Linked DNA regions of Danio rerio. The protein of the gene in region 1 binds, or shares a complex with, the protein of each later gene. Links are inferred from orthologs where the notes say so. Each region holds a gene or a part of one and is shown on either strand. Other genes may lie near its edges.

The links. The genes of interacting proteins can lie anywhere in the genome.
Region 2: smc2 (region 1) and ncapg share a complex: the UniProt entries of both Homo sapiens proteins name them as parts of the condensin complex. The link is inferred for Danio rerio from reciprocal best matches to the Homo sapiens genes SMC2 and NCAPG.

What each region holds. Positions count from the first base shown.
Region 1 is NC_133176.1:21,040,551-21,050,767, forward strand, and holds the start of smc2 (structural maintenance of chromosomes protein 2), read left to right. Parts: upstream 1-894; 5' UTR 895-989; coding exon 990-1,157; intron 1,158-1,893; coding exon 1,894-2,043; intron 2,044-2,134; coding exon 2,135-2,257; intron 2,258-2,987; coding exon 2,988-3,026; intron 3,027-3,129; coding exon 3,130-3,240; intron 3,241-3,325; coding exon 3,326-3,370; intron 3,371-3,957; coding exon 3,958-4,191; intron 4,192-7,056; coding exon 7,057-7,206; intron 7,207-8,488; coding exon 8,489-8,722; intron 8,723-10,217. UniProt on the Homo sapiens protein: Central component of the condensin complex, a complex required for conversion of interphase chromatin into mitotic-like condense chromosomes.
Region 2 is NC_133176.1:25,130,539-25,141,199, reverse strand, and holds the end of ncapg (condensin complex subunit 3), read right to left. Parts: intron 9,747-10,661; coding exon 9,565-9,746; intron 7,464-9,564; coding exon 7,301-7,463; intron 7,193-7,300; coding exon 7,022-7,192; intron 4,538-7,021; coding exon 4,411-4,537; intron 4,304-4,410; coding exon 4,259-4,303; intron 4,158-4,258; coding exon 4,088-4,157; intron 3,968-4,087; coding exon 3,841-3,967; 3' UTR 3,436-3,840; downstream 1-3,435. Other genes in the region: lcorl (ligand-dependent nuclear receptor corepressor-like protein), read left to right, coding at 1,660-1,673. UniProt on the Homo sapiens protein: Regulatory subunit of the condensin complex, a complex required for conversion of interphase chromatin into mitotic-like condense chromosomes.

The DNA of each region.
Region 1 (10,217 bases):
AACATTTGAAAAAGTAAAACTGTGAGGTAAACGTGGATACAGCACGTTTAGATATAATAACATAGATATTATAATTGTGGGTGAGATTCTTTGGTGAAAAAACTGCTGTTTTCACATTTCTATTGCAATGTGCTTTGCGTTGTTGAATCAGTGACATTGCAATAGTACTGCAAACATTTAACTATTTATGCCACGAATTTATGCACATTTGCAAATGATACAGAATGTAGGTTAACTTTGGAAAGATTCAATTCCATGCATGTATTATTCTTGGCCGCAATTAACTTAACTCCCAGATAATATAAAGTAGGCTATATAGTACTATACCTTTGTAATAAAATAAACATATACATTGTGAAATTATTTACATTGGGATTAAAGGGTTTTATTAACGTTACATGTGGATATATAACTATCACAGCTATGGGAGGTACTAAATGTAGCGTTTGGCAATCAGAAAATTAACTACTGAATGCCGCGACTGACTTACTGTAATCTGATATTTCGTACAGTCGTGTAATAACATGCCATCATATTAAAAACAGCCTCAATGTGCGCTGAACTACACTCTTTTGAACGTAACGATCAAATGTCATTCGAGCCGGCCAGCTTGAGCTAAACCGCCCTAATGACGTCATACACGCTTCAATGTTTTGGGTCCTTCATCATTGTGGTGGCTAAAAAGTAGCCTGAAAAAAATGTTGTACATTTATTTCACTTCTGACAGCAAAGCGTTGCTTGTAATGACTGTAAATCTTTACCAAATAAACTTAGATTTTGTCTAAATATATCCAGGCTTCTAGTGAAATTCATTGCTTGTGATTTTACTGGAATTTGAAATCTGTTCTGTTTTTTTGAACGGCGGAGCGGAAACGCGCCTGGCGCCAAATTTCAAGTTTAGATGGTTGAACTGAAAGCAACGCCGGGGCTTTTGGAGGTTGTTTTCATCAAGCGTTGTTAGTGGATTTTACTCATATCATTTCGATAAAATGTACATAAAGTCGATTGTACTAGAGGGCTTCAAGTCCTACGCCGAAAGGACAGAGATTAACGGATTTGATCCGTTTTTTAACGCCATCACTGGACTGAACGGCAGCGGAAAGTCAAATATACTCGACTCCATCTGCTTTTTACTGGGGATTTCGAACCTTTCCCAGGTGAGGGTTTAAACATGCTTATTTATTATCAGAACTTAGCAATGTGTATAAATCCGTTTTTAAGGTGTGATTGCGTTATTTTGATTGTTGTTTAGCTTAACATTGTTTATTTTTGTTTGCAGAAAAACGAAATACAATCATTTTCATTGTTATATGTGACCCTGTAAGTTACCACAAAACTAGAGATACGTGCATTTTTTTGTATCTTAAACCTAAAGAAACAATCTTTCCACTGATGTATAACGTTACTTTTTTACGATAGGGCCACATTTAGCCGATATGCATACAACTGGAAGTTATTTGAAAATCTGAAATCTAAAATAAATAAAAAAATGCTAAGAAAAACGCCTTTGAAGTTTTCCATATTAGGTTTGCAAAGGGCATTATTAATCAGAAATTGAGTTTTTACCGTAGGAAAATTACCAAATGTCTTCACTAAACATGGTCTTTACTTAATATAACATTACCAGTAATTTTGGCATACAAGAATAATCAATAATTTTCACCTATACAATGTATTTTTGGCTACGGCCAAAATATAGCCTTCTTGTGATATAAGACTAATTTTGTGCTCCAGGGTCACATATGTTGTTAATAAATTGTATGATGACAACAAAAGGCAAACAAAATATAAGTGAATATTATATATTTATAACTTAAACTTAAACAAAAGATGTGCTCAATAAAATAGAAATACATATAACGACTTTTAAAGCTAAAGCTGCTTGTTTTGTAGGTTCGTGCCACAAATCTCCAAGATCTGGTTTACAAAAATGGCCTGGCTGGGATCACCAAGGCAACAGTGTCCATCACTTTTGACAACTCCAATAAGAAACAGAGTCCACTTGGGTTTGAGACGCATGATGAGATTACCATCACACGACAGGTAGATGACCTAAAATCAGTGCCATTTTCACTATAAGATAGCAGCTCACCTTTAAGAATGAGAATGTGAAGATGTTATTTGTGTTGTGCAGGTGGTCATAGGTGGTCGCAACAAGTACCTCATCAACGGCGTAAATGCGAACAACCTGCGTGTCCAGGATTTGTTTTGTTCAGTTGGCTTGAATGTCAACAACCCTCACTTTCTCATCATGCAGGTAATCATCATAAGAGAAGTTATATGGCCTCATAATATTCTACAATTATTATTGTTATAATTATTATTATCACATTTATGAAATAATGCTTTAAAAACTTTTTTACAATTTTTTTCCCCTGCAAAATTCAGATTTTATTTGATATAAGTTTGTTTTATATAGGTGAAAATAATATAGTGAATTTTAAGTTCTCAATGTTTTTATAAATCTTTTTGGGCCTGTGGTCCCAGGAATAATATATATATGTGTTTAATTTATTTATTTTTTTTTTAGATTCTGTTTTTGTGTGTTTAATATTTCTTTACACTGGTTTAATAGTTAATTATTAATCGTATGTAACTTAAAAAGCATTTTGAATTAAAATCTTGCAAGTGATTTACAACAGTTTATTAAGAGTTTAACAAAGCCTACATATTTAAAAAAAAAAAACAACACATAGATTAGGTTTAGCTATTTCTCAAATTGTGCAAAACTTATTGACAGGGAGGTTTAGAACATTCAATATGAAGTCTTTGTGTTTTCATATTCACAGAAACTAGTTCACATCATTGTTTGATTTGGTGTAAATTACCTCTTAATATTTTCATCCAAAATTTGCTAAATATTGCAATGCTGCATAATATAGCAAATTCCATTTGAATGGCTATTGAATCCTTAATATTGTACCCTTATTTTGGATTTGCATATCTCAAAACAGAGCAATTTCATTATTTTTACCTGTTTATTCCAGGGGAGAATCACCAAGGTTTTAAACATGAAGCCTCCTGAGGTAAGAGATCATTTAAATAAAAAGGAATAGTCAGTTTGATTAAACAAACAAAAAAAAAAAAAACGATACCAAGATGTTAATTTCCTATTTTTTCCATTTTTAGATTTTGGCCATGATTGAGGAAGCAGCAGGTACAAGGATGTACGAATGTAAGAAGATCAGTGCTCAGAAAACTATTGAGAAGAAAGATGCCAAGCTCAAAGAAATTCAGACTGTACGTACATTTAAATATTAATGTTCAACAACAATTTAATCTTTTGAAAATGTAATCCTAATATGTTTCTGTGGGTGTGGGACAGATCCTAGATGAGGAGATCACCCCTGCTATGGAGAAACTAAAGGAGGTAGGCATTTAATTTTTTTTAATTTTTCTTTTAGGTGTAGTTCATTGTAAAATAATGGTATTAGCATGGTGTTAGCACATTTACTTTTTACTGTCAAACCCCCCTCAAAAAACGTATGAATGAATAACAGATTAATAATAAATAACATATCTATAATTTAAAGTATTTGTGTAGATTAGATTAAAACCATATATTATTTATTTATACCTTTGGTATATTAATAATAAAGTAGCTAAATAATAAATAATGTAATCTAAAGGCTATACATTACTGTGTGCCTTTATGTGCTGCTTTGAAAAGCGTTTTCTAACAGCATCAGTTCCTTACTGCAGACAGAGTACATAGGACTCAATATATACTCATCCTTATGCCTTGTCCTACACTCAAAAAAATGATTAACTGGATTTACACATTTTTTTTAAGGTAGTTGGTTGCAAACCATTTATATGGGCTGAATTTAAACAAATTAAATTTAGTAATGTTTAACTTAATTGGTTTGTTTAAAATCAGACCGTATATAAAAGTTTTGCAACCAGTTACCTTAAAAAATGTAGTAAAGTGTATTGCTCTCATTTGCTTCTTCTCAGGAACGTGCATCCTATCTGGAGTACCAGAAGCTCATGCGAGAGATTGAACACCTGAGTCGGCTGTACGTGGCGTACCTGTTTGTGTGTGCCGAGGAAACCAAGCTGAAGTCTAATGAAGAACTGCAAGAGATGCAGAGCTCCATCGCAAAGCTGCAGGAGAACATGAAACAGAATGAGGCCAAAGTGAAGGAGCTCAGTGCAGAGATACAGGAGCTGGAGCGCAGGAGAGACAAGGTGAGTGGAGAACAAACAGCCAGATCTAAAAACAAGGGCAGGAATTAATAGTGCATTCATTGGGAATATTCATTAAGGGGGCAATTCCTGTCTAACAAAGTCCATCAGAGTAGTGGGGGGCAGGCCCAAGGAGAACAAGGGCTCACTTATGGATTACTTATTATAAAAACTGAGCAGATTGCTCCGTTTTTGGCTAAATAAATAAAAAATGTAAATTATAATAATTCCTTACTTGTATATAGCACTTTTCTGGACACTTAAAGCATTTTACACATTGAGGGAATCTCCTCATCCACCACCAGTGTGCACCACTGATGATGCCACCTGGATGTTGTTTCAGTGATTCATTTAAATTGCTATCAGATTTTATTTGCTAAGCTAATTTCCGCCTCTTATAATCTACTGAGACTTTTAATTATTATTAATTATTCGATTTAAAAAAATGCAAATATTTTTTTTTTCCAAAGTTCAAATGCAAATATTTTTTTTCTGTAAAATATTCTATTTACATATTGTGTAATGATATTTACATCACAATATATTTTACCATCACAAATATGCAAACATAGTGCATGTAAGAGAAAAGGAGTACAGAGAAACAGAGAACAGTATCAGATCAGTAAGAATACAAATTGTCCTTGTGTTTATACATAGTTTTAAGATAATTTATAAAAGAACACCACTTTTGTTGCTGTTGTTTTTTTTTTCTTTCAAATTTCTAATAAGTTTTTTTCAAAACATGTCTTTCTTAAGAACAGATATGCTACCTACTATTAAAAAAAAGGTTTAGTTAAATATTTCAATCCGCACCAGTGCATTAAACTCATTTATACTGTTACACAGAAAAATTCTGTGTAAAATACAGTTGAAGTCAGAATTATAATTTTTTTCTTTTTAAAATATTTTCTAAATAATGTTTAACAGAGCAATGAAATTTAGATTTTTTTATATTGTTTGATTTCGGCTAGAATAAAAGGAGTTTTTATTTTTTTAGAAACCATTTTAAGGTCAAAATTAATAGCCCTGTTGAGCTATATATTTTTTCGATACACAATCGTTATACAATAACTTGCCTTATTACCCAAACCTGCCTAATTACCATAGTTAAGCCTTTAAATGTCACTTTAAGCTGTATAAAAGTGTCTTGAAAAATATCTAGTCAAATATTATTTGCTGTCATTATGGCAAAGAAAAAATAAATCTGTTATTAGTAATGAGTTATCAAAACTTTTATGTTTGGAAATGTTTGGAAAAAAATCTTCTCCATTAAACAGAAATTGGGGGAAAATATAGACAGGGAGGCTAATAATTTAGGGGGTTTAACAATTCTGACTTCAACTGTAAATGTTGTGCTTTTCAACTTTCTCTTTATAAACAGTATATCACAGTTTTTACTTAAAAATGGCATAACTGTTGTCAGCTTTGATAATATTAAGCCAATCAATTGAGCATTTTATAATGATTTCCGAAGATCACATGACATTGAACTCAACTCATGAATTCAGCTTTGCTATAACAAGAATAAACATCTTTTTAAAACCTGTATTTCACAGTGCTGCTTTTATGGTATTATTTTTTTAGATACGCAACCTTAAAAGACCTTACAAACTGCTAAATCAAAGTGTATTCACAATTCATCTTATAGTACTGAATTGAAACAAGTGGTGAACAAATGTCAAATTCCTCCATCAGAGATGAGACCTTTTATCAATGTTTACATTTTAAACAAGTGGCAAGAAGACGGGATGCATTAGAAAATAATACATTACATGAAATCCAACCTGAAATCTCACAGATTGTTAAGAGATTTTAAGACTAGATTTGATCAGGTGATTTTTACCAGACACAATACAAGAATAACCCATGTTTTTTGCTCCAATGTGAAATCCCTACTCGGTGTTTGTGCTGCACGACTCCCCTTAAAACACATTTTTCTGGACTGTCCTGCTTTTACTGATTCCAGAAGACTTTTAAATGAATTGAACTCTCATAAGGACATTTTTAGCAAAGTGACAACAAAAAAGATTTTAATATTTTTATTATGTAATAACACTAAAAAACTTATTTAATTGATGTGTTCCTTATTGATTTTTAATTGTATATTTATTGAAATGTTCCTCCCATGAAAATAGCCTTGGTCACTGACATGGCATTAAATAAAAAATGCAATACATTATAGTTCTGAATATAAGTGTATTCACAACTGTACCATTCAAACATGTAAACAATATATGACTACACTTACTATTTTAATCATAAGTTATCTGAAATGCAGTGATTTAAAAAATGTGATAATGTTTCCTTTAATCTAGCAATATGTATTGTATAATTAACTCAGATTATATAAAACGTTTATTAATTAGAAATAGTAATTGTTATCATGGTTATTTTTTTGCATGTATAATTTTTTCATCTTGAAATTTTGTGTTGTAAGTTATTGCGGCTGCATCTGTTGTGTAGCTTTAGTTGTGTCAACTGTCAAAATGTTCTATGCAGAGAGGAAAACTGTCTTTAATTTATTCAAAATGATTTGTGGTTCTGATTAAACTCATCCAAGGTCCAAATCTGGACCGCAGTCTGCGGTGGGGTGACCTCGAATTTAAATAGTTTGGGTTTCTTTTACTTGAACAGGTTTGGTAATCGAGTACTTTTGTGGAGACTGGAGGTCTGTAATATGGGATGGGATGGTGGGTAATGGACTGGCAAAAGTATTAAAATCATTGTACGGGAAAAGATTTGTGAATTTTTAATGATGCAAATTGATACCTGTTAGAAAAGTGTGCGGTTGATTGATTGAATATTTCTGTCTCCTGTTGTACTCCATTAGCTCGTCTCATTTCTGTGTCTGTCTCTCTTTCTCTCCAGGAGGTTGGGGGGGTATTGAGGACGCTGGAAGAGACCTTGTCTGAAGCACAGAGAGTGGACACCAAGGCCCAAAGTGCCCTGGATCTGAAGAAGCAAAACCTGAAAGATGAGACCAAGAAGAGGAAAGAGCTGGTCAAAAACATGGAGGAGGTATGAGATGATGCTGTCCTTTATTCAAATTAGGCTTTTGTATTTGCTTTTTGGTTTTCCACTCTTTGACTTAAAGGTAGTTCACCCAAAAATGGAAATTTACTCAAGTGGTTCCAAATATTTGAGTTTTATTTAATCTGTTGAACCCAAAAGAGATATATTGAAGATGCATACAATTCTTGTTTGTCGTCTCGCGCATTGTGTCTGTTTGTGTCTGTAGATTTCAGTTGCAATATATATTTTTACTACTTCACTCTCTTAGACATAAATCTCCTTCATCTCCTAATAGCACTTACACCAAATGTTTTATTCATATCTGTATTCTGTGGGTTGTTCTATAGGTTTGTACATTTTATTCTACTTTATTTTTCTGGCAGTTTATGGTACTTGTTGAATTATGCAGTGAGTAAAAATAGATGCTCAAAGCACCCTCTTTAAAAGCCTTTGATTTGTAATATGTCAAAAGAAAATGACACCAAATTTTTAACTTGATGTTGAACAAGAAATGTATGCAAATTAGAACTTATAATGAAATAATAACTTAATAATTACCAAATATTTACAATTTTTAATGTATTAAGTCAACTAGGGAACTCTTAATTTATATTTACCCTATTTATCTAATGTCTTGCCTTTTGAGTGTTGGATGTTTAAAATACTTTAATTGATATTTAAAAATGTAAAGAAATTTAAGCCCCTTATATAAAGTATTAAGTCTTAAATGCTATTTTGCAAGGTATTACATTTTATATCATTTTTGTTTATGCAATGTATAGTTGTATGCTATAGTTTGCCTGAATTAAATCAGCGAATATCAGGATGCTGTGTAGTTTATGAAATCAATAAAATCTTGTTAGATTTAACATTATGGTGCTTTGTTTACTGCAGTAATCAAGCCAGCAACATTATTTCTGCAGTTCTATATTCGCCAACCTGCTGAATTAGTTAGATTTAATAGATTTTTATTCAGTATATCAATAATGGTTTAGTTTTGGATTAATTTCTTACATTAATATTTAGTAAATATGCTGCAAGTTAAAATCTTACCAGTGTTTACGATTGAAAAGTGGTATTAAGGTCTTAAAGTGTGCAAAGAGTCTTAAAAAGGTCTTAAAAGGTATTGAATTTCACTCTTTGATTCCTGTATATACTATGAAATGGATTCAACATGGAAATTAAAATTTAATAAATATATTTTTAAAAACTATTTTAATAAATTGTTTAAAATTGGTGTGTTGATTTAAGGAAGTGTCAATTTAAACGTGTACTTTGTTTGCACTAGGATAAGAAGGTGATGTCCGCTAAGGAGGCCGAGGTCGCTAAAGCAGTAGAGCGTCTGAAGGCAGTGAAGGAAGAGGGCCAGAAGGACGCAGAAGCGCTGGAAGCAGCACAGCAGCATTTCAAGGCAGTGTCAGCTGGTCTCTCTGCCAATGAGGATGGAGCTGAAGCCACACTTAGTGGCCAGATGATGACCTGCAAGAATGACATCAGTAAAGCTGAGACGGAGGCCAAACAGGTGACCTTTAGAGACCGTCAACACTGGCTGCATTCCACTGCACTTTTACTAACACATTCACTAACTTCCCTTCCCTTGTTCCCTATGGGCATCCCTCACTGCCATTTTAAAGTGCGTTTCACTTCATCAAGTGAATGAGGGTAGATTACATGGACATACTCTTAAATTCATTCGTCCACCCCAGCACCTATATGTCCCAGAATGCAATGCAGCTGCAACTGCTCAAGGATTTGGGGTGTTTCATTTAAACTCATTTAGATGTTTCACCAGTAGTGGGCACTTCTGTCAAGTAATCAATGACATATATTCGAGGAAACAAGACAGTGAATTTAGCGGGTAAAAAGGCATAAAAAACTGGAGTAAAATGCAGCCAGTGTTCACATTGATCAAATATTTTTGTCCACAGTATATACCTCAATAACTGTTCACTGAGCATACTATTACTATTGTAATATAAGTATTGTTTACTGTCTGTGTTACTAAAATCAATAATGTCTCTAGACTACCCTCAACTTTATGAATATTGTGAGTCTACTGTTTAACCGTTTGGGCAATGATGAGGTTTTATTTATTTATTTTGACAAGTTTTTTTTTTTTTTTTGCAATTTAAAATAATTGTCTAAACTGTACATTTTATTTTAAGAGAGCATCCTTTTATTTTTGTTATGGCAGAGCTGAATTTTGCTAAATTCAAGAAAGCATCTTTTAATATTCAGATTTGATGCTCAAAAAATATTTATTTTGAGTGGTATTTACTAAAAGTAAACCCATTAGGACGAAGTTAAGTATTTTTATTTTTTTTTGCCAGACATTGTTTTACAATAAAAGTTAAAAAGACATAAAGTAAAAAAATCATTTAACTTTTGTTTCTTTATTATATTAGCATTTTCGTAATTGTTTTGCCTTAAAAATTGCCTGAGATGCTCACATGGCTTTAAATAAAAAAATACAATATAATAAAACGTTTAGTGTTAAATGGTGTTTAAATGGTTACAACAATTTACCTCAATTTGATGAATAGAAAGCTCAAAAGAACAGGATCTATTGGAAACATTGCATTGATTTATTTTTTTGTAATAGTAATACATAGGGATAGGTGATTAATCGAAAAGTAATTGAAATCGACATTCAGAACCAATAACCAATCTTATTTTTCCAGGTCAAATTGTTTTTAATTACTCGCCTTACTGCATGTGGAGTCATATGACCCTGCTCTGTTTGTTATTATTGGGTTTCTTTTGCTACATTAATGATTGACGAAGCTGCGCCAGAGATTCATTGTTGAGACGCCATACTTTCCATTACATTAAAATAATTTTTTTAATTAAAACATTTGTTAATAGAAGATGCAAGAAATACACTGTTTTAAATATTATTTACAGGATATGCAAGAGTTACTTTATTTAGAAGGTTTAATTTTCTACTTTTAATATGAAAACATTCAAAATATTTTATTTTGTTTCCAAAAATGCAAGTTATTTATTTTCACTTTTTT
Region 2 (10,661 bases), about 4.1 Mb from region 1:
TAGTCTGAATCGTTCGGTTTGCAATGCTTACCGAACCGAAAGTCTCGTACCAAACGCTTCAATACAAATACGCGTATTGTTACACCCTTATATATATATATATATATATATATATATATATATATATATATATATATATATATATATATATATATATATATACATATATACACTTATCATCAAAATAAAAGCTCATCAGCACTACAAATAATGAAGAAAATCATATCTGGAACGGTTTTCTTGCGGCAGTTTGTTGATGCCCTGTCAGTTAGATAAACTCATTTATTTATTTGATCCTCTCTGGATCCTTAGATTTTCCACTGATAACCCAAAATTACATTTGGTTAAGCCAAGCCCTCTATGTTTAGACCAGGGGTTTTCAAACTTTTAGGACACCCCCAAGCAAAATAATCTTGTCGTTCGATTTGTGATAAGATTATTTTGCTTACCCCATTGGCAGATTATTTTGCTTAAGAAAAAACTCACTTCATTTTGGCATATTATTTCTTAAAACAAGACAATATGTTTTGCTTGTCTAGAAAATGCTTCTTGATTTGAGACCATTTAGATATTTGGACTAGAAACAAGACAAAAAAAAATCTAAGTAAGAAAATCTTTTTGTGCAGTGTGCCCAACTGTAGTTAAAGTCCCCCAAAATTACAGGAAACTCTTACATAAAAGCACTTCAAGTAAACACCTTAATTATATTATTGTCTATTAAGGCAAATAACTACATTACTGATATCTATGTAAACATAGTCAGTGTGTCTTCAAAGATAGTGAAAGATCCAGAAGGGCATTCTGCTGATTTGATGCAGAAGTGCACTTTTTTGTTAGACGCTCACCGGTTTGACTTTCATTCACCGTCATTCATTTTAAAAAGCACCCGCTCCATTTTATTTGCATATATTTTACTGGAACGCATGAACTTTATATGTGCCTGATAGTTATATGTGGAGCTAAGGTTAATCGGAATTACTCTAGTGAGCACACAAAAACTGTCATAATTTACTCAAGTGCACGCCCCCTTAATAGATGCTGGTGCGCCCCACAGTTTGAAAACCCCTGGTTTGACTTCTCTTCGATGTCTTATTATAAATCGCTTGGTGTGCATGGCTTCATTTATTTATTTTTGCTGTTTTGTTTTTACTATTTTAAATAGTACAGCAAACTTTTTTTATTTGTTTTTGGTCAACTACCCCTAAACTTCTGAGGTCTGCTAGAAAGTGTAACATAACTCAAGTGTGTTCAACCGGAATGTGTTTTAATAACTCGTCTGCAAATGGGCTTAAAGTATGTTTCTGGTCTCTATAAAGCCGGGATCACCAAACGTTTTCCTGGAGATCCGGTGTTCTGCAGATTTTAGCTCCATCCCTAATCAAAAACACCAGAACAAGCTAATCAAGGTCTTACTAGGTGCATTTGAATTACCCAGGCAGGTGTGATGAGACAAGTTGGAGCTAAACCCTGCCGGGCACCGGACCTCCAGGAATGAGATTGGTGACACTTGCTATAAAGAATGTTTGATTCATAATATCAGTTACGATTATTTTATCTTTTGTATAGATTTAACTTTGTGTTGTTAAACTTTGTTTGTGATGTGTTGTAAATATTGTAGGCTGCAATCAAATATAAGTGTCTCTGTTTTGTGTTTTACAGGATCATTAAAGTAACTTGGGACCAGTTTCGGGCAAGACATTTTCTTGAACTCTTAACACAAGGTGCCTTTCAACAGTGGTCTGGCTGAGTATCAAAAGCATTACGACACACAACCTCAGCAAGCGTCGTGTAGCAAAAACAACGTAAAAATTCATTTGACACTTGTTGCACTATTTAAATATTTTATTTGTAAAACGTTTCATTTTTTTACTTGGCTTTATTTTTGGTGCAGACCAGAAGATCTGTTTGCATGAAGGAGTATGAAAGGTTACATGAGCAGTATGTTGTCTGGGTGTCAGCCTGTGATTTTAAAACTTTCTGAAGACAACTTTTTTCACATTTACATTTTTAAAGGATACAAATGATCTTATTTTTAGATTTGCCAATGTTTGATAGGAGTCTTATGTGCTATAAATGTTGCCACTAAGACAAAAACTGGCCATTCAAATAGAACTTTTAAATTTGAAAGTGAGTGTAGTGTTTTTACTTTAAGTTCAGTCACTTTATTATTATCATTACTTTACAGAAATATTTGACTGGAATTTAGATTGTTTGACTGTTTTGTGGGAAATCATTTAAGCATTAATCTACATCCTTGTTCTTATTGCACTACCAAACCCCTCCTGCTTCTCATTTCATTTTATTTCTAACTACAACAAAAGTTGTAACGTACAGTGTATTTTAGTGCAATGTTTTACTTTTAGAAAGATGTAAAAGTCTATTTTACTTTCTCTTAAATTAAAAGCTTTTAAGATTATCCTGAAGCAAATGTGCTCCACATATCGTTTCTTGGGGAAGAAAAGCATACCTTGTGAAAATCTTAAATTGTGATCTTGCAGTATGACACCTACCTCCTAAACTGTACTGGTAAGTCATGGTAGTTCAGCCTGAAATGATTATGTATTGTTGTGACCTTGTCCTTGATTTAGGCCATGTTTAGTTATTTATTTAACATTTGTTGTTAGTCCTACTGCTACTTTAGCTTCTGTTGGTCACCAAAATTAATTTAGGTTCCTTTTAACAAGACTGGCTTGCATCTGTGCATTTAAAATGTAGTCAGATTGATAATCTAAGCTTTGAGAAACTGGTCTTTGACATTATCTAATATGTTCTACTGGATTTAAACCTTTGTGTCTGGGGAATGTCAGCTAGTGTTTGTTCTAAAACGGCAGAAATTAAACAATTTAGCATGTTTAGACATTCACTCACTCTAACACTGTGGAGTGTCTTACACCTGGAGCAGCTGCGGGTTTAGTGGGGACTCAACTTCAATCGTGGGAGGAAAAGAGTGCCGGTTATTCATTACCCCCTCACCTAAAACCTTTGCCAGGAACTGAACCACTGACCTTTAGGAACACAAGTCCAACTCTCTAACTGGTAGGCCAGGCTGCTAAATGCTTTTCAGTTACCCTTTACATAACCAGTGGCAGTGCCAACATGAATGTCTGCACAAACCTCAGCAATCCCAACTAGTGCTTTTAGGGTCACAACCATTCGAAGTACTACAGTGTCAAACAGACAAGGCTAAAAAAAAAAAAAAAAAGGGAAAGGTACATTTTGCCTGTACACCTATGCCAACCGACAGCTGGAGTTGAAGCTTGTTATAAGACCTGTTAGGTCTTCTGTATATTGTTTTTTTTGGCCACTGTATATTTGTTACCTGGTGCTACAAGTTGTACATAATCGTATAACTTATGTACATGTATTGTGTTTTCTCTGTGTTTTTTATACTTGCCTTCAAAGATGCTGTCTCAATCATTAAAACAATAAAAGCTCTTGTGAACAGATTTTGTTTTATTTCAGTTAAAAGCATACAAAAGTTCAATTGAAACAGGAGTTAGCTTCTTTATCAGCTCTCACATATTAATTATATAAAGGTATGAACATTCACATAATCAGACCAACATTCTTAAAATAGCCAATTATAAAAGGGGGTGAGTTCAGTCCACTTCCTTGTGCATTTGTTTACAGGTTCAAACAAGCAAATGAATTGGCATGCCTCCTACACACATGAAAAGGACTGCAGATGGCACATTTTAACCAACAATCTTAGAATACATCAATATTTACCAGTATTTAAACTAAAGAGAGAGAACGCTAGTATTCAAATCCACCAGTAGTTTCTCAGGTAAAACTGAGGACATCATTGGTTGAAAGACGCCCCTCTCAAATAATCCACTCTTATGAACCATTGGCCTCCTGGTTTATGAGGGCAGTCAGATCCTGCTTGGTTTTATCCAGAGCAGCAATTTTTGCACGTCGGCTTGGTCGCACTGATGGAGCCTCTTCAGGAATATTCTCTTCATCACTATATATATATATATAAAGAAAGAAAGATATTTTAGCAATAGCGCAATTAAAATAAACCACCTGCAAAAAAGTTAGCATCTCAGCTTGAGAAAAAAGTCAAATTGTAGCGCAGTCCAACCTTTCATCAGAAGACATGTCTGCTTTATAAGATTTTTTTCCATTCTTTGCAGTGGCAGCTTTTTTCTGGCCTGTAAAAAGACAAAAAAAAGAGTGGAAGCTGAATACAAGCTATCAAACATTTACCTGTCAACCCAACACAAACATAAGACAAAAAGAAAAAGCCAATGACCTCTTTTTGCTCGTTTAGGTTTCGTCTCATCCTTGTTCATCAACTCTGCAAGAATGTTCAGTCTAGTTAAAGCAATTCTAAACCAGTCTTAATTTGAATCGTAATAATCTCATCAAAAATTGGATGCAAAACTACATTATGCTTGCTAGTACCTCCATTGTTTTCATCCAAGTTAAGCAAAGCTGTGTCCTGGTTACTGGCTGATTTGGAACCATGATCTCCGATTAGCTGGTTGCAAAGCTTTTCAATAACCCTTGTGCAGTACTTATCTTTCACTTCCTGTAACACAAGACAAAGATGTGGTAGTCACTACACAATCAATCACTTGCTTTAAAGGGCACCTATGTTGAAAAAAATTTACTGTTCAAGCTGTTTGGACAGACGTGTGTAGATATAGTGTATATACCATCATATTGGGGCGATTTAAACACAACCAGTCAGTTTTTTCAATTTAACAACAAAAATGGTGGACCAATTGGAGCGGTTTACAGACCAACTGCAACTTGATGTAGGAGTGCGGTTTCTACGCCAACCAAATTGATTGACAGCTGCGTATTAACATGTCTCTGTAGTAACCCATATAATCATATCAACAAAACAGGACGTGTGCAAAGCAACCAGGAAAAAAGGATCTGTTCAGTTTGCTAGGATCATCAAATGTGATCAAGAGTGAGTTTTACCAGTTTAAAATGTTTTAAAACAGTGCATGTTTAATTAATTACAGCGATTTACTTCAGCACCACAGCCACATCAGTACAATTATAAAAGAAGACGCTTCAATCCCGGACATGCAAAAGCGGTGCAAAACTATACGCGCGTGCGTGCGTGCGTGTGTGTGTGTACTTCGTAATGACATTGTGTGACTTATTGTGTTTTCTTTTTGCAAGGACACTGGTATTAAATTATCTGTTCCAACTCTGATTTGTTTTTTTTAAAGTTTTTAAAGCTTCTAAAGTTTACAACAGATCATGTTTGTAATAAAGACAATAAAATCGCTATGTAACTCTTAACTGCTATAATCACCACAGTAGGGATGCCACGGTTCTCAATATAATATTAAACTGTACGGTACGACCTCCACAGTTCAATATGCGCTTGTGAATTGCAGTTTTTCCGGTTTTGCATTTAAATAATTTGTGCGTTCCATATCTCCCTGAATTGACTGTGTGCGCCTCTAAATCCATTAGCTAAGATGAGGAATATCAAATCACTATGCTCTAAAGTTAGGGGGCGCTTGACCATCATTCCACACTTTAACATTGCGAGCGGCGATGAAGTGAGGCTGAAGCAACAGTACAAGGAAACGCTGGCGAAGTGAGGCAACAGTATGAGAAAGCGCCGACCTCTTTCAAATTTGCGGTGTGAGGACATTTCGGTTTTGCCGGTAAGTAAAATGCCAATAAAAGAAAAACGGTGAACACTACATAACTGTGCAAGCATTGTTTTACACGTATAACCATGACTACACATCTGCAGCGCCATTACCCAGCAATATCACTGTCTGAAGGCAGGATAGCAGAGAAGGTAATAAAGTCCTCCAAATAAAAACAATACCTTACTGAATCTTTCAAGCAAACATACCCAACTGGTTCAGAGAGACACATAAAAATAACAAAGGGTGTTTATTGCTAAAGATTTGCAGCCGTTTTTTGTGATTGGAGAGGTGGGCTTTTGTCATTTTATAAAAGCACTAGATCCACATTACAGACTACAGTCTCACATTTTTTCAGCACCGAGATAATTAAGATGGTTTATTTATGTTTACTTAAGTACAAATATGTTTATCTGAAATGGCCAATTTATCTTCACATGAATGTTTATTTTCAAAGTGTAGGATTTTATGTGTTCCCCAGTTTGTACATGGGCTACCAGCAGCTGTGAGATTTCAGTGTAAATTGTTTTTATACAATACACTGGGAACTAGTGTACTTTTCTTGGCTTTTAAGTAAAACAAAATGAGTATTGCAATAAATAGTTTTTATTTTTCTCTCCTTAACCTCTTATTGTTCCTATTGCCTATAGAAACCCCCCGTCAACCGTGTTGAAGCACACTTGTCCCCCTAGGCCTGCACCCATACTGCATCTTTACCTTGCGAGCCGAAGCACACATACGTCATCGATGATGCGACTGTTCAGTTTAACGGGAAGTAAAGTGCTGTTGCTCACAGTAGATTGCTTTAGTTATAGCGTTTTTTCATTATTTTAAGTCGTTTGATATGCAGAGGCACACAGTCAAATAATCTGCCGAACAGATCCACCACTTTTGATGCTAATAAATGTTCATAAATGTCTTTGTGCTGCAGGTATTAGGAAGTCTGCTGAAGGTGGCAGCTGACATGCAGTGGGGGGTTTGTATCTTTAATAAACTATGACAATAAGTGTTTATTTAAACACCAGAAACTGCCAACTGAATCTCGCCTGGGCCTGATTCAGAGCACTTACACGTCAAACAACTCTGGAAATGCACCCGGGCAGAGTTCGGATAGCCTAGTGTAAATGCACCTTAAAAAGACTACACTGTACTCGGACACCAAAATGGGGGTATTGTGAATGCTATAATAAATGATCTGATGGGTATTTTGAGGAGAAACTTGACAGACACATTCTGGAGAAACCAAAGGCTCATCTTACATCTTGTAAAAGGGTTAAAATAGGTGCCCTTTAATGCCAATCAAATTTGACAGCCCATTTCATTGTCAAGTGTTTCTGCCTTAATCTGACAATCTTTTCTTTTATGCACTTTTACAAAAGACATGGCAGTACCTGTAATATGTCTTTTAACAGGAGCTGCAGTTCATTGTTGGCAGGTCCAGGTTCAGTGTTAATCTCCAGCCAGCTGAGAGTTTTGCAGTAGAGGCGCACTTCAGGAGCAGAAACATCTCTCAAGATCTCATTACAAACACGCAACGCCAGCGAATCATGAACTGACACAGCCTGCAAAAGAGATGTTTGATCACTTAGATGATATATTAACAGATTCAAGTGCTTCAAACAGAGGCACTACTGAAACTTTTGTAAGTGTACATGCAAGTTTCACTGTACCTGTACGACCGCAGGTTGCACGAGAGCACTGGGTCGTGTTAGTTCAACAAACAATTCAGCCACATTGGACGCGTCTACCTCAGACAACGGAGAGGTCACAGGAGCATTGAACAGTGTTCTCATGGTTGGTAGGAAACTCTCCTCCACACACTCTTGATTTGCTCTAGTGTACAACAATTTCAGGAGAAACTGTAAATATCTTGCTGTGCACTTACAACAATGCATTTCATTTAAATGCCAGTAACATTATTGGGTTAGTTTACTCAAATATTACGTTTTTTTAGATGCTCTATACATTTACATTGATGTTAAAGCAAAAAGAAATCAATTGAAACATTTTCCTAGACCAAACCCCATAACACATATAGAAGCAGTAAAATGTTGCTGTATTGTTCATTAACAAAAATTTGTGTACGAGTGAAATTCAAATATTTTATATAAATGATTATGAATTTTAGACTTCATGAATGTTATCACTTTGTTAATGGTTAGCAAACTACTAAACTTGACGAAATGGCAGTTTTGATAGCGTTTGATAGTTTCACATGAATAATATGATGTAGTTGCGTTTGTTTTACAAAATCTTGTCTCATCCGCAATAAACTATCTGCATACTACTTTAATTGTTGTCTGTCAGTTTAAGTGTGGTCAATGCCATGCTGGAGCAAACGAAAGAAAAAAAAAATTAAGAATTTGTATTTTTCCAGTAGGATCCAGAATCGCCAAACCAAGTCTCCTTTAGTGCGCTCACATTAAGTATAAAAAAAAATTGTCACACACAATTTTACTTGATAATGTGCATTTGTACAGACAACATACTTTATGCCAACTGACCTAACATGTGATGGTTATGGGACATATTTGGAGAAAGCACATCAAAACAAAATATCTATACTTCACTTATGTACCAAAACACAAGAATGTAATAATATATTGCATTTGCTTGCCTTTTTGCTCACGAAAACAATAAAAGTCTCAGAAATCTAAACAGAAGTGGTCGTGCCTCACTTGAATGCATAATAATACTAGATTTTAAAAAAATGCATCTGGGATGACGACTTGTAATTGGATGACTGAAAATGCATGTTATTACCAAGTGGAAATGGGGTTTCAGGTCTCATTATTAACAAAACCTATACTTTACTCAAATAAAAATTACTGTGGGTTTGGAACCTGAAGAAAAGTAAATAGCAGAATTTTATTTGTGGCTGAACTTTAAACTACTTTCAGGATTTCTGTATGATGGCAAAAAGAATCGAGCGCACTGGTGAGATCCCCATCTCTCTGCTCACACAAAATGTATTATTTTTGACTAAAGGGACAGTGAGTAATGCCAAGCTATAGTCCAAATAGATTTACTTTTTACAGATGCGCTGCCTTTGACAGTTGTATTTCGTTGATTGTCTGTGTTGAAAACAAACAGCTAATAATAGGTGTTGTATACTAATATCATAATGTCACCAGCTATCACTTTTTTGTTTTGATTAAGTTTAGCAGCTACGCCTAAACTGTGCTCAACCTAAATGTGATCAAATTTATCAAAAAAAAAATTCTGATTAATTTTCTATATATTTTCAATAAATATTGTTATTCAAAATAAGCTATACATGCATTAAATGCACAAAATACATAAATATATTGCCATTATTCTGCTACTCCACTATATATGTGTCCTATAAGATGTGGCCATGAGGTGTACTTAGAGAATTGGTATTTTTGTGCCTCTGAAGGGAAATGTAATGTATATTGCCATACATACTGAGTAGCTATTCAAATGAAGATGTAGGAATTACATTTTTGTGCCAATAGGTGTCGACAAACACCCATCTAAATGTCTGTCACTATAATATTCTTTAAAAATTATTGAAACATGAAGTCTTTATGAAGAAAGTCATTGAATCAATGAGACTTAAAGTATATAAAATACAATACGTAAACAATTTTTGATTTTAATCTGTTTACAGGGGTGGTTCTAAGATTTCATCTTTTGTGGGACACACACACACACACACTGATGAAATCTAGAACCACTACTTTAAACGTCACTTACAAAATAACATTTTTTAGATAGATTAAATGAATGTTAAATAAAAGTCCATTTTTATATAATACACGAACGGCCGCCAGTTTCCGCGTGTGTAGGTCTGTTATCTTCTCGCAGTTCACTTGACCTAGCAAGTAAACATTACCAGTGCACTCAATTCATTTTGGCATTTGAATTTGCCATCATATTTCTGTTCAAAAGTACCTGACCAGATGCATACCTGCTTGCTCGAGCATACAGTTGTAAGAAAACTCCCAGACAATGGCGCAGTCTTTGGTCATCCTCAGTTACAGGATTGTACCACAGTAACACCAGGCGGGACAACAGCTTTGGGCTTAAGATTCTTCCACAATACATCAGCTTGGCCAGACCCTCTGCTGTCTCTGTGCGAAGCTCGCAGACCTGAAAAATATCAGTTAATATCATTTAATGCAGCATTTGCAGAACATTTAGGGCAAATTGTCAAAATGCTAGCCAATCGGCTACAGGACTTTCCACATTAATGAATTGTGAAATAAAGCTCTACACTGACTCATTGTTGTAACATTAGAAAACCATAACAGTTATTTTAATAATCTTCACAGCGATTTGTAGTGTAGAGTTAACATGCTCACAAGGACATCTTTCTCAATAAAGCATACACCTATGCAAAGCTGGGCATACAAGTGCTAAACAATACATCCAAAAATAGATACACATTCATTGAACAGTAAATATCAATTTATAAATCGCGATAGAACATTTCAATAATAGTGATATGATTTTTCAACATTCTGATATTTGAGCATTTGACATTGAATGGCATTCAGGGCAGTGTCAAATGCAATTGGTTGTAGGATTGTTTGAAAGCCATATCAATGAACTGATAAGTCAGCACATTGCTCATATATCTGCACGGTTCTGTTGATAGACATGGCTCAAACACTAGCCAATCGAATAAATTAATATCTGAAGGGAACCAATAATAATTAAAAAAAACTGTTTTAATCCAGCCAAAATAAAACAAGGAAGACTTTCTTTAGTAGAAAACATAAAAGGGGATAGGGTACAACTTTTCTTTGTTAAAAATTGCTTGGGAAATATAAAAAAAAAATAAATATCACAAGTATGTATTATATGAACTGTGGCCAGAATAAATGACTACACACATTAAATTAGTCAGTACCAAAGCCAAAACTAGAGCTAATGTAACAAAACTAACTAGAGATCATGGAAATGATCCTAAAATAGTACACCCAAATTAATATAAAAAAAAATAATATTTACAATTTTTAACCAAGAAAAAAATATTTTTGTTAATTTTGTAATTTGTAAAAT